3 linked regions of the Canis lupus familiaris genome follow. The protein of the gene in region 1 interacts with the protein of each later gene in a pairwise test. Links are inferred from orthologs where the notes say so. Each region holds a gene or a part of one and is shown in the gene's direction. Other genes may lie near its edges. The genes, in order: C15H1orf109, PPP1R12C and MEOX2.

The links.
Region 2: the proteins of C15H1orf109 (region 1) and PPP1R12C interact in binary tests that used the Homo sapiens proteins (3 or more experiments, as listed by UniProt). The two-hybrid records come from large-scale screens. The link is inferred for Canis lupus familiaris from reciprocal best matches to the Homo sapiens genes AIRIM and PPP1R12C.
Region 3: the proteins of C15H1orf109 (region 1) and MEOX2 interact in binary tests that used the Homo sapiens proteins (3 or more experiments, as listed by UniProt). The two-hybrid records come from large-scale screens. The link is inferred for Canis lupus familiaris from reciprocal best matches to the Homo sapiens genes AIRIM and MEOX2.

The regions. Positions count from the first base shown.
Region 1 is NC_049236.1:4,885,573-4,889,733, forward strand, and holds the start of C15H1orf109 (uncharacterized protein C1orf109 homolog), read left to right. Parts: upstream 1-1,245; 5' UTR 1,246-1,534; coding exon 1,535-1,809; intron 1,810-3,630; coding exon 3,631-3,810; intron 3,811-4,161. Other genes in the region: CDCA8 (borealin), read right to left, coding at 531-659, 743-839. UniProt on the Homo sapiens protein: Part of the 55LCC heterohexameric ATPase complex which is chromatin-associated and promotes replisome proteostasis to maintain replication fork progression and genome stability.
Region 2 is NC_049222.1:103,278,331-103,281,975, forward strand, and holds part of PPP1R12C (protein phosphatase 1 regulatory subunit 12C), read left to right. Parts: intron 1-223; coding exon 224-382; intron 383-458; coding exon 459-526; intron 527-1,104; coding exon 1,105-1,239; intron 1,240-1,463; coding exon 1,464-1,554; intron 1,555-1,752; coding exon 1,753-1,836; intron 1,837-1,922; coding exon 1,923-1,983; intron 1,984-2,136; coding exon 2,137-2,222; intron 2,223-2,334; coding exon 2,335-2,375; intron 2,376-2,457; coding exon 2,458-2,539; intron 2,540-2,702; coding exon 2,703-2,807; intron 2,808-3,063; coding exon 3,064-3,114; intron 3,115-3,278; coding exon 3,279-3,329; intron 3,330-3,408; coding exon of another isoform or gene 3,409-3,495; exon of another isoform or gene 3,496-3,645. UniProt on the Homo sapiens protein: Regulates myosin phosphatase activity.
Region 3 is NC_049235.1:30,321,129-30,324,773, reverse strand, and holds part of MEOX2 (homeobox protein MOX-2), read left to right. Parts: intron 1-573; coding exon 574-746; intron 747-3,645. UniProt on the Homo sapiens protein: Mesodermal transcription factor that plays a key role in somitogenesis and somitogenesis and limb muscle differentiation. Required during limb development for normal appendicular muscle formation and for the normal regulation of myogenic genes.

The DNA.
Region 1 (4,161 bases):
ATCTGATTTGCCCTTTTTTTTTTTTTAACTGACGGTTTCCATGAGATGCAGAAAGTACGGCTTAGGGTTCTCCAACCATCTGAGCTCTGGTTAACGAACCAAGTTATTCAGGTATCCGTTTTTAAGCGACTGGATAAACTATCCAAAAAAAAAAAAAAAAGAGAGAGAGAGCGAGCAAGTGAGAGAGAGCGTTTTGTGACACAAAAAATGCACACAAATTTCACATTTCTGTGCGTCCCTAAGTAACGTTTTCCTGGAACACATACATGCACCTGTTCAATCCAGCAGTTTTGGGCCTAGAACAGCTTGAATTGAGTAGCTGCAAAGCTTCAAGAATTCAGTATGGGGTCCTTTAGAGGGGATGGATGCCTGCCTGCCTGCCTGCCTGCCTGCCTGCCTACCTGCGGGGCAGATGACGTCAGAGTCCTGTGCAGACAGGTGAAGCAGGGAAGTGCAATAAGCAGCGCAGGGGGGCGGGGGGCGGGGGTGATCACCGCCGGCCGAGGCCTGGGGACGCGAGCGGCTCTTACCGAAGTAGTCGAGCCAGTTCATCTCGCGCAGCGCCTTGGGGAGCCGCAGGATCTCGATGTTGTACAGGTTGTCCATCTCCTTGAGGAGGTTCTGTGTGTCCGACTGGATCTGCTTGGACCGTATTTGCACTGCGGGCAGGGCACACGGGCGGGTGAACCGGGGCCCGGGGCCCCGCACCCCACCCCGCCCGCACCCCGGCTGCGCCCCCTACCTTCCCGGTCGAAGTCCCGAAGAAAGGAGGCGAGCTTCCGGCTCCGCAAGGAGCTGGTCTTGGCCACCCGACTGCCGCCCTTCCTAGCCGGAGCCATGGCGCTTGGGTGGAGGCTGCGGGCGCCCCCGGGGCGTGGGGGGGGGGGGCGGTCAGCGGCCGAGGTCGCGGGAGAGGCCGGGCGGGCGCCCTAAGGGGCGAGCGGGGGGCACAGGCTGCCCCGGGGAGGCCCGAGCTTAAACGAGGCGCGGGGCACGTACATGCGGGTCGCCGAAAGCGTCCAAGAGAACCCCCGCCTCCGCAGCCGCAAGGACGGAGCAGCTCCTTGCAGAACCCGACGTGCAGCCGCCGCCGCCGAATTCAAACCGCCACCGGCTGACGAATCAGAAGTCGCCGTCTTGGGAGGCTCCCGCAACATCCAATCACAAGGACGCTCCGCCCGTAGGACTACAGCCCCCAGAAGGCATCGCGCGTTGCGACCTCCGTTTGCGCCGCGGCGGCCGCGCTGGAGCATGCGCGGAGAGGCGGCGAGGGAGCGCCGGGCGTGGGTGCCCCGGTGGGCGCCCCCGCTTAGCCGCCGCGGGCTTCCAGGGCTCCCGCCGGTTCGGGGAAGGCGACCGGAGCTGCCAGGGGAGGAGACAGAACTCGGGCTCAAGGCCCGGGTTTCGGGACAGCGCTGCGACCTGAAAGCGGGGCCGCCCCCGGGTCGGAGGGGGTACACGGCGCTTGCGCACGGGAACCCTCGCACCTGGGCCGCCTGGCGCTGCCCGCCGGCCTGGGCTTGTCCGGCAGGTGATGGCGCAGGACCAGCCTCTGCTCGCCGTGCGGGAGGCCCTGAGGGGCTGCTTCCCCGCCGTGCAGGAGCAGCAGCGCCGCTGGCGGGGCGCGCTCGGGGACTGCCAGCCCCTGCTGGCCGCGCTCGGCAGCCTGGCGGAGCAGCTGCAGGCGGCTCAGGTCGCGCGGCTGGACGACGCGCCCCCGCTTCGGGCCTTCCCGGGCCTGCGGGAGCGGCTGCGGCGCAAGCAGCTGGAGGCTGGCGACGACGTGTTGGACAAGCTAGGGGAGACGCTGTAAGAAGAGCTCCGCGCGGGAGGGTGGAGACGCGGGGGCTCCCTAAGCAGCTAGGATCAGTCGGAGAGGGGGTTTCCCCTTCCCTGGAAGGGAAGGAGGTGTCGCAGCCTCGCCTCTTCTCCATTTGTTGCAATGGGATTTATTGATTGATTGATTGATTGATTGATTTTATGCATGGGACGCAGGCAGAGGGAGATGCAGGCTCCACGCAGGGAGCCCGACGTGGGACTCTATCCTGGGTCTCTAGGGTCACGCCCTGGGCTGCAGGCAGATGCTCACCCGCTGAGCCACCCGGGGGTTCCCCGCAATGGGACCTCTTGTCACAAAGTCGTTTTACAGGGGCACCTGGCTGGCGTGGTCAGTCGGGCTTTGGGCTCTGTGGTTTTGGCTCAGGTCGTGCTCTCAGGTGGTGAGGTCAAGCCCGGCGCTGGGGCTCTGCACTCAGTGTGCAGTCTGCCCTCCTTCCTTCCCTTCCTCCCTTCCTTCCTCCCTTCCCTTCCTTTCCTTCCTCCCTCACTTCCTCCCTTCCCTTCCCTTCCTTCCCTTCCTTCCCTTCCCTTCCTTACTTTCCTTCCTTCCTCCCTTCCCTTCCTTCTTCCCTTCCCTTCCCTTTTAGAGAGAGGGGATAAGTGGGGAAAGGGGCAGAGGGAGAGAGAGCATTTCAAGGAGACTCCCAGCTGGGCGCAGAGCCCCATGCAGGGCTCCCATGTCACGATCCGTCATGACAACATGACCTGAGCCAGAATCGCAAGGGAATGCATCCCTGACAAAGGCACCCCGCGCGGATAGGCCTTTTCTCGACTAGAGCAAAATAAGTGTCCAGTGTATACGGTCTGTGCCCTAGGCTAACGGGAACAGGTCGAGTACAGGGATCTTCTTTGTAGTCATTTGTACAAGAGAGCTGAGCACCTGTAATTAAGCCACGCACAAGGTGGTGGGAATATAGCAATGAACCAGGCTTGGTTTCTTTGTAGATTAGAAGAGAGAGAGTTTTTTTTTTTTAAGATTTTTTTTAAAGATTTATTCATTTATTTATGATAGACATAGAGAAAGAGAGGTAGAGACACAGGCAGAGGGAGAAGCAGGCTCCATGCCGGGAGCCCGACGTGGGACTCGATCCCGGGACTCCAGGGTCACGACCTGGGCCGAAGGCAGGCACTAAACCACTGAGCCTCCCAGGGATACCCCTTTTTTTAAGATTTTATTTATTTATCCATGAGACACACAAAGAGAGAGGCAGAGACACAGGCGGAGGGAGAAGCAGGCTCCATGCAGGGGGCCTGATGTGGGACTCGATCCCAGGTCTCCAGGATCACGCCCTGGAATAATAAGAATATTATTACTATTATGCTCACTGTGAGCTGGGCACTTCCCTAAGCACTTTATAAGCATTATTGCATTTGATCCTCCCAAGAACCGTTTCACTCCATTCATTCATTGAACAAGTGTTTGTCATTCTACGTGCCAGTCTCAGGGTTGTGAGCACTTAGGGTGTGCAGTGAGCAACACCATTTTTATACATGATTGAGCGTTAAGTAACTTCTCCTATCTGCAGTAGTCTCTCTCTGTGCACCCAGAGCAGTTTTTCCCACTGGGACGTTTGGCAGTGTCTGGAGACCCGATTGATTGTCCTGACGTGGTTTGCTCCTCTCATCTAGCGGGTAGAGGCCGAGGATACTGCTCAGCATCCTAACACGCACAGGACAACAACTCTCCACCACAAGGGACCGTCCAAATTGAAATGTGCATGTGCTGAGGTTGAGGACCCCTGCCTTAGGGTCCTCTCGTGGTATTGCCTAATGTGAGACTTTTCCCCCCAGAGCTACCCTCCTCAAGGTGCGTGACGTTGTCAGCAGGCACGTGGAACAAGTGTTTGAGGTCTATGAGCAGCACGCAGACGCGATTGGCATTGATGCTGTCCAGCGGGCTTCAGCGGTGAGCCCCTCTGTGGCTGACATGTTGGAGTGGTTGCAGGATATTGAGAGACACTATCGAAATGCGTATCCTTTGCGAATATGTTTCAGACAGCATCCAGAGCTGTCTCAGGAAGTTTTTCATTTCAGTTTTCACGAGAGCATACGACTATAGAGTGCAGGTCAGTTCTCATTGTCTTTGAACTTGGGGAAAAATGAAACGGGGCAAGCGAAGGGCGAGGGTGGGGCTGTGATCTTAAACATGGTAGTCAGGAGAGGCCTCACTGAGATAGTGACATTTGAGAAAAGACCTAAGGAAGATGAGGGAGAGAACCAGTTGATACTCGGGGAGAGGGTGTCCCAGGTAGAAGAAATGTCAAGTGCAAAGGCCCTGAGGTAAGAGCAGGCCTGATATGTTCAGAAAGTAGCACGGATGCC
Region 2 (3,645 bases), on another chromosome or scaffold:
CTGTTTTGGGAGGGGGAGTTGATACCATCAACTGTGCAACCCTCTTCTCAGGGCATGTAGGGTCAAGGTTAGTTTCTAGAGTCTCCAGAGCCATTGACTGTTTTTTTCTGGCTCCACCCTCCAGAGGTTGGTGGGAATTGTGGTTTTTGTGGTCCTTCTGGGGTAACACAGGAAGCCTCTGGAAGGATCTTTTCTCTATAGCCAAGACCTTGCTCTTCCACAGCCCTCAGAGGAGGCTCCCTTCGCCAGGCGCTTTGGCCTCCAGAAGATGGGGAGCTCTAGTACCCTGGGTCCCACAGACAGACGGGAGGCTGAGGGCACCCCTGGGGTGGGGCTACAGCGCTCAGCTTCCTCCTCTTGGCTGGAAGGGACCTCCATTCAGGTGAGTGGAGTGAGGGGCAGGGGACCGAGCCCTGCCTGTTCGAGGAGAATGTTCTCTCCGTTCTCTCTTTACACAGGCCAAGGAGCCCCGTCTTGCCAGAATCACGCCTACACCCTCCCGTAAGGTGCTGGAATCCTCTGCCCTGTGAGTGCCAAGGAAGGGCCTGGGCCTGTCGGGGTAGGGGCTGTATGATCCTGAGCAAGTCCCTTTGCTCTCTGGGATCTCTGCCCTTGGCTGCTCTTTGCCTCAGTTGTCCTCTGGTACATCAAGTAAAAGCTCAGAGTTAAGCTTCCAGGGTCACAGTGACATGACCTCCTGTTGTCTGTGTCTCTCACCCCATCCCTTTCTGACTCCTGCCCCAGGGCCTTTGCTCTGCAACTCCCCAGCTTGCTTCCACTCCCTGCTCAGGTCCTTGTGAGGCCCGCTCTGACCACCTGCTCATGCTACTGCAGTGTCTGCACACACATACTCTCCCACCTCCCACCCCTTCTGTTTCCTTGCTTCAAAGTACTTTGGCCTTCTGGCATGACATGATGAGGGTCTGAGATGACATATGAGGGTTTTTTATGCTTATTGTTTGTTCTGCCTCTTTTCTGTTCATGTTTGACTCATTGGGGCAGAGATGATTTTCATCTTTTGCTCACTGCTGTCTGTATCTCTAGCACCTGCCATGTAACTCAAGCTTAAGTAATAATATTTGCTGGATGAATGAATTCACACAGGTTTGAGATCTCCAGGCGTCCTCCTCTGGATCACTCCACTCCTCCCTCCAGGATTCCGGAGTCTGAATCCCCAGTGAAGCCAAATGTCCCTGTAGCCTCCATAGCGCCCCCAGCTGATTCCCAGGATAGGCGGAGGTGAAGAGGCAGGGGGTGGGAAGCCTCTTTCGCGCCCGCTGGGAAAACCTAGCTGGCCCAGGGCTGTGTCCCCAGGGTCTCGGGCTCCCTACGGGGTTTGTCCCAGGGTTGCTGTGAGTTGGAAGTCCTCTGACAGAACTTACCTTCCCTGAAGGGTGTCAGCGTGGGTGGGACAGGAACGGGCTGCAAAGGAACCCTCCCTGAAGTTGGGACCTTTCACTCAGGTCCTATCAGATGCCTGTGCGGGATGAGGAGTCTGAATCCCAGAGGAAAGCTCGCTCCCGCCTCATGCGCCAGTCTCGGAGGTCCACACAGGTGTGGGGGTGGGCTGGGGCACTGGGCTCCTGGGTCCTGGGAAAGGGGGTTGGGGGCCTGAATTCTTGTGGGTCCTGGGAAGGAGGGGCTGGGGACCAGGACTCCCTGGTCTAAGGGAGGAGGACCTGGGGGCCTGGACTTGGGACCTAAGGGGCTAGCCCTGAGCTCGAGGACCCCTGACTGCTCCCACTCTGCCAGGGTGTGACTCTGACTGACCTGAAGGAAGCCGAGAAGGTAGCAGGGAAGGCCCCAGAGCCAGAGAAGTCATGCCTGCAGAGCCTGGTGAGAGGGGTCAGATGAGCAGGTAGTGGGTGGTATAAGACCCCATGTCCTCTGACCATTCTGACCTCCTTGCCCCTGTCCCCTAGGACCCATCTCGTCGTCCCCGCATCCCTGGGGTGGAGAATTCTGAAGGCCCTGCCCGGAGAGGTGAGGTCTGGTGTCTGGGAGGTGGCTCCTGCCCGCTCCCCTCCCCATCTATCCTGCTGTGCTGTTTTCTTGGGGGGTCAGGCTAGGGACCCTGACAGGGCAGGGAGGGGCCCCTCCACAGGTTTCGGGGCTGATTCCTGCCCCTCCCCCCAGCAGAGGTGCCTGATGGGCAGGGTCAGGGACCACAGGCCGCCAGGGAGCACCGCAAATTCGGCAAGGAGTGGAGGGGGCCTGCAGAGGTGAGTGGGAAGGCCCAGGCGGGGTGAGCTGGGCTATGGGTGGGCCTTGACGGCAGGGTGGTGGGCCAGACTCCCCTCCCGGCATCAGGCTGAACCCCACCTCCGCCCGCAGGGGGAGGAGGCGGAGCCGGCCGACCGCAGCCCAGAGTCCAGGTACAGGGTGGGCAGGGAAGGGTTTGGGTTTGTCTGTAGGGCCGCAGGGAGCCCCATTGATGCCCTGCCCGCCTCCACCCAGCACTTCCGAGGGCGGCCCCTCACCTCGCAGGGTGCAGGACCCCGAGCCAGAATCGGAAGAGCCTGATGGAGGCTTCAGAAAGGTTCGCAGTCCCCTGCCCCAACTGTCAGCCTCTGTCCACCTGCCCTACCGCCCTTTCTCTGTGGCTTAGCCTGCCACCTCCCTGCACCCTGCTATTCAGTGGCCTCGCTGAGCTGTGTGGGACTGGCAGGCCTGACCCTGTCCCCCTCCTGCTGGTCCTTCAGCTGTACTCAGAGCTGCGCAGTGAGAATGAGAGGCTTCGTGAGGCTCTGACTGAGACTACGCTGCGCCTGGCACAGCTCAAGGTGGAGCTAGAGCGAGCCACGCAGGTGAGGTGCTGAGGTCTTGGAGGTGGGCAGGGTGGCGGGGTGGGGCTGAATGATGAGGGATGCCCAGGGGAGCAAGAGCAAGGGGGGATGGGGGAGGCGGGCTGCGGGGGCAGGGCTGGGACCCTTGGGATCAGGGCTGATGATGAGGGACCCAGCCCTCCAGGAGCCTGGACTGCTGTCCCTCTCCCATGCTGATTTCCCCCCTGGTCTTTGTGGTTGGGATGTCTGAGCCTTGTGCTTTCTCTGTTCTCACCAGAGGCAGGAGCGCTTTGCAGAGAGACCGGCCCTTCTGGAGCTGGAGAGATTCGTGAGTGGAGGCAGCTGGGGTGGGGGCCAGATGTGTCACCAGCCTTACAAACCCATGTGGGTCTGAAGGAGGGCACGGTGACCCCCTACCCTTCTCATCCTATTTTGACCGCTGGCCCTCCCTGAACCCCAGACCCTGGGCTTCACCTCTCCTATTTATTCCAGGAGCGCAGGGCCCTGGAGAGAAAGGCAGCTGAGCTTGAGGAGGAGCTAAAGGTGAGGAATTAGGGGGTGCTGTGCACAGTGGGTTCCACTGGCCCAGGGCCACCCTGCTGTGACCCATCCCATCCCACAGGCCCTGTCCGACCTCCGGGCTGACAACCAGAGGCTCAAGGATGAGAACGCAGCCCTGATCCGTGTTATCAGCAAACTCTCTAAGTGACTCTGGAGGAGAACCTTCCCTGTACCCGTATTTATACAGCTGCTTCTGCCACACGCATCCCTTCCCCTGTGTGAGCACGAGTGACAGGGCTCCCAGGGGGTCTCTGAGAAGCCATAGCCTCCCTTCTGGGCCTCCAGACTGAGGGGAGTA
Region 3 (3,645 bases), on another chromosome or scaffold:
ATAAGAGAATAGAATTGCTATTGCCCTCAAAGAGACTAAACTTAAATAGAAATTAAAAAGTCAGTAAATACACACACACTTTTATGTATGCTTTGTCTGACCTTGAACTGACTTTTATGGTCCAGTTGCTAAACATTCAAATTGCTTAAATATTCACATATTAAGTCAACACTTTTTTTCTTAGGAATTAAAGAGTTCAATCATACCTAGATCCCAAGTATACATATTAAACAACTTATTAAACGCAATTTTACATCCGAAATTGTTTTCTAGAGGTGGTTTATTTATTTATCTTTTTATCATATTAAGAGCAAATACATTTTTTGTTCATATTTTGAAAGAATATTAGACACTTTGCCAATTAGGCTGAGTCACAGGAGAGCAGATCGAAAAAGTAAGAAATGTATCTTATCCTGTTGTGAGATCAGTCTTCTGTCTTTGCTCTCTGTTTCTCCATATCTAACATAGTACCTGAAAAAGTAGTTATTCAGTAAATGCTTCTGGTATGAATGATATGATTGTATGCATTTGAATGAATAAAGTCAATTTAATTCTCTCTTACATTCCCCCCAGATTCCCAGGAAGGAAATTACAAGTCAGAAGTCAATAGCAAACCCAGGAAGGAAAGGACAGCTTTTACCAAAGAGCAAATCAGAGAACTTGAAGCAGAATTTGCCCATCATAATTATCTGACCAGACTGAGGCGATATGAGATAGCAGTGAATCTGGATCTCACTGAAAGACAGGTAAAGTTGGACATTGTTGTGATATGGTATTTTTAATTGTGTTGAGTCAACAATCTTCTCTCGCCATTTTTGAAATATCTAGATCTGTGGTTCTTAAATGCCATTTGTAAGATAGGTGTTCTGTTCCATGATGAAGTTTTGGCACGGCAAAATGGCAAAATTAAGGATAAGATAGCAGTGTTTTTAAGGAAAACTACATTTATTCAGTTTAAGGTATCATTCTTTATTCTGTATTTGTGTCCTTCCTATATATTTTGGTTTAAAATAGTATTTCTTGTATATAATGATGGCATATAGTGAGCAATTCTTTTTTGCTTATATTTTAAAATCTCCTTATTTTGGTATAATAGAAAGCCAGCAACCCCATATTAGTTTCCTCTATTGCTCAGGACAGGGTTTGCTATGTTGCTGTAACACATTAACCCCCGGACCTCCATGACATAACAAAAAAGTTCACTATTTGCTCACTCTCCATACTAACTTTACAAGTTCAGCATTATAAACAATCAGTCACTCACGGACCCAGGCTGACTCTCTGGCATCTCAACATGTGGTGTCCTTGGTAACCACAGGAGGTAAGAAAGAGGTGGAGGTTCATGCACTGACCTTTAAATGTTTTCACCCGGAAATGACCCATGTCACTTCCATTTATACTCCAAGGTCCGGAAATCATCCGTGGTGCCACTTAAGTTCAAGGGGGGCTGGGAAATGATGGGAGCAAGGGCCCATAGGTCTTTCGTAAATATTTCCCAAATATTTTTGAACTGATATTGGTCTCAAAAATTTAAATTTCTGACATTGACTCATTTAGAGAACACTTTGCAATTATGAACGATCTGTGGACTCCAGTTGATAAAACCTAAAAGGTCCTTTCTTGGATTTTACTTGCTCCAGTAGTGCTCCCAGTGCATTCTTTTTATGGATTCTGATTTGCCCTGGGAGAATCTAGCTTACTGATGGTTAACAGTTGCTAATCTTTAGGAAAACATTCCTGAAAGGCAAATCCAAACATCTTTATGGACAGTGCAGTTATGATTGGCACTCCTAGGACTAGAGTCTCATTTCCTTTCACTGTATGCACCTCCTCCAGGGATCCCATCAGAACCAAAGAAATACCAACAGGGTGTGGACGTATGAATACTATCTTAGGAGAGCAAGTTATTTTATCCAGTTTCTTAAATCATCTGCTTTCCTTCTGTTAATTTCTGGATTTCAGCTTTTGTAGGGTATTTCTGGGGATTGGGAATATAGAGAGAGACACTTTTATGTGGTTTTATTTATTGGCAGTTTATATTTTATTAAATATTATGACTAGTGCCTAAGTTGTGAAGCACAACATTTTCTTTCCCTTGAACTTCACAGACAAACTCCTCTCCATAAGTGTACAACATTTGGCATGCTGGAAAGGAGAATCCAAAATCTACATTATTGGACATCTGTTTTATTTTCATTTTTTTTAAACTGGGAGCAGATAAAAAAAGAAGGGAGGGAAAGAATTACATATTTTAATGTTCTTATCCATAGACAGTGAATTCTAGGAAATGCAACCATGTTTTCTATGGTACAAAAAGGAAACAAGCTAAGACTTGTTTCCAAGCTATAGAAATAATGGGATGCAGTACTATACTCTTAGCCAAGAGGGAATGTGAAGATTCTGTGCTTGCTATTCTGGGGATGGCTTTGGTTACCTGTGATTATCTGATTATAAAGCAGAAGTTTCCCTTATGGTTTAAAATAATTTCTTTTAGAAAAGCAATTCTATAAATTTGGTCTGGCAATTTTTTAGGTATTTTGGATATGTCTTCCTGAGTTGTCATTTATGGAAAAGGATGATATGTAATTTTAAGCAAAATACACACACATACAATTCTAATCTTTGTTTTTGTTTATCAAAGGTCCCTTTTCAATTTTGTTATCAGTTAGCCTTGACTATGTAACAAACATTCAAAAATCATAGTGGTTTCAACTAATAACCGACATTCAATTTGCTCACAGTTTTGTGGGTCGGGGATTTTGACTGGGCTCAGTTGGATGGTTAAGCTGCTTACCTTACCTAAATCTCCCATAGAGCTGTAGTCACGTGGCGGGTTTGGGTTTGAAGAGCTGGTTGGTTTAAATAGTCTCAGCTGGGACATTTGTCTCTGTTGTATGTGGTTTCATTTTCTTCTAATAGGCTCTCTGAGACTTTTCAAATGGGGATAGAAGCATTGTCAGGAATAGAAGAAAAACTCCAATGGACCAAGGCTTTCAAGGACTCTCGTTATCTCATATTTACTGATGACTCATTGTCTAAAGCAAGTCATATGACCAAGCACAGTGTCAATGTAGAAGGAGACCATTTAAGGAATGGATATATGGAAGGAAGGTGACATTTGCTGGAGGCCGTTACCGAAATGATCTAACTATAGTGTCATAGGGGAAAAAACAAACAAACAAATCTTGAGATATAATTGGATTTTGAAAGAATTGAAATTTTATATCGTGAAGATTTTTTTATCCTATAAATCTTTATTTCCAGTTTTTCAGATTAATATGAAAAGGAGATGCATACATGTGGAATCTAAATTCCTAGTCAAAGTTAAGTCTTCAGAGGGCCACTATGTGACAGTGAGAAAAATTGAATTATTATGATAAAAATTTGAATAGAACAACTAGATTTTCCATTGGAATTTGGATTCTTAGGCAAGTAACAATCTCCCTAAGTCACAAAATGGAAATTAAAGCTAACTTCTCTTGCTTCTACTCAGGTTTATGTGTTATAATGAATATGAAAGAATTTCTAGCATAAACTGAAAAACACAACTGTCAATCAGAGGAAGGAAAACTTTTTGCCATTCAAGGCATAGTGAATTAATTATTTTGTAGCACAAATATTTGTTGAGCTAGATGCTAGAAATAA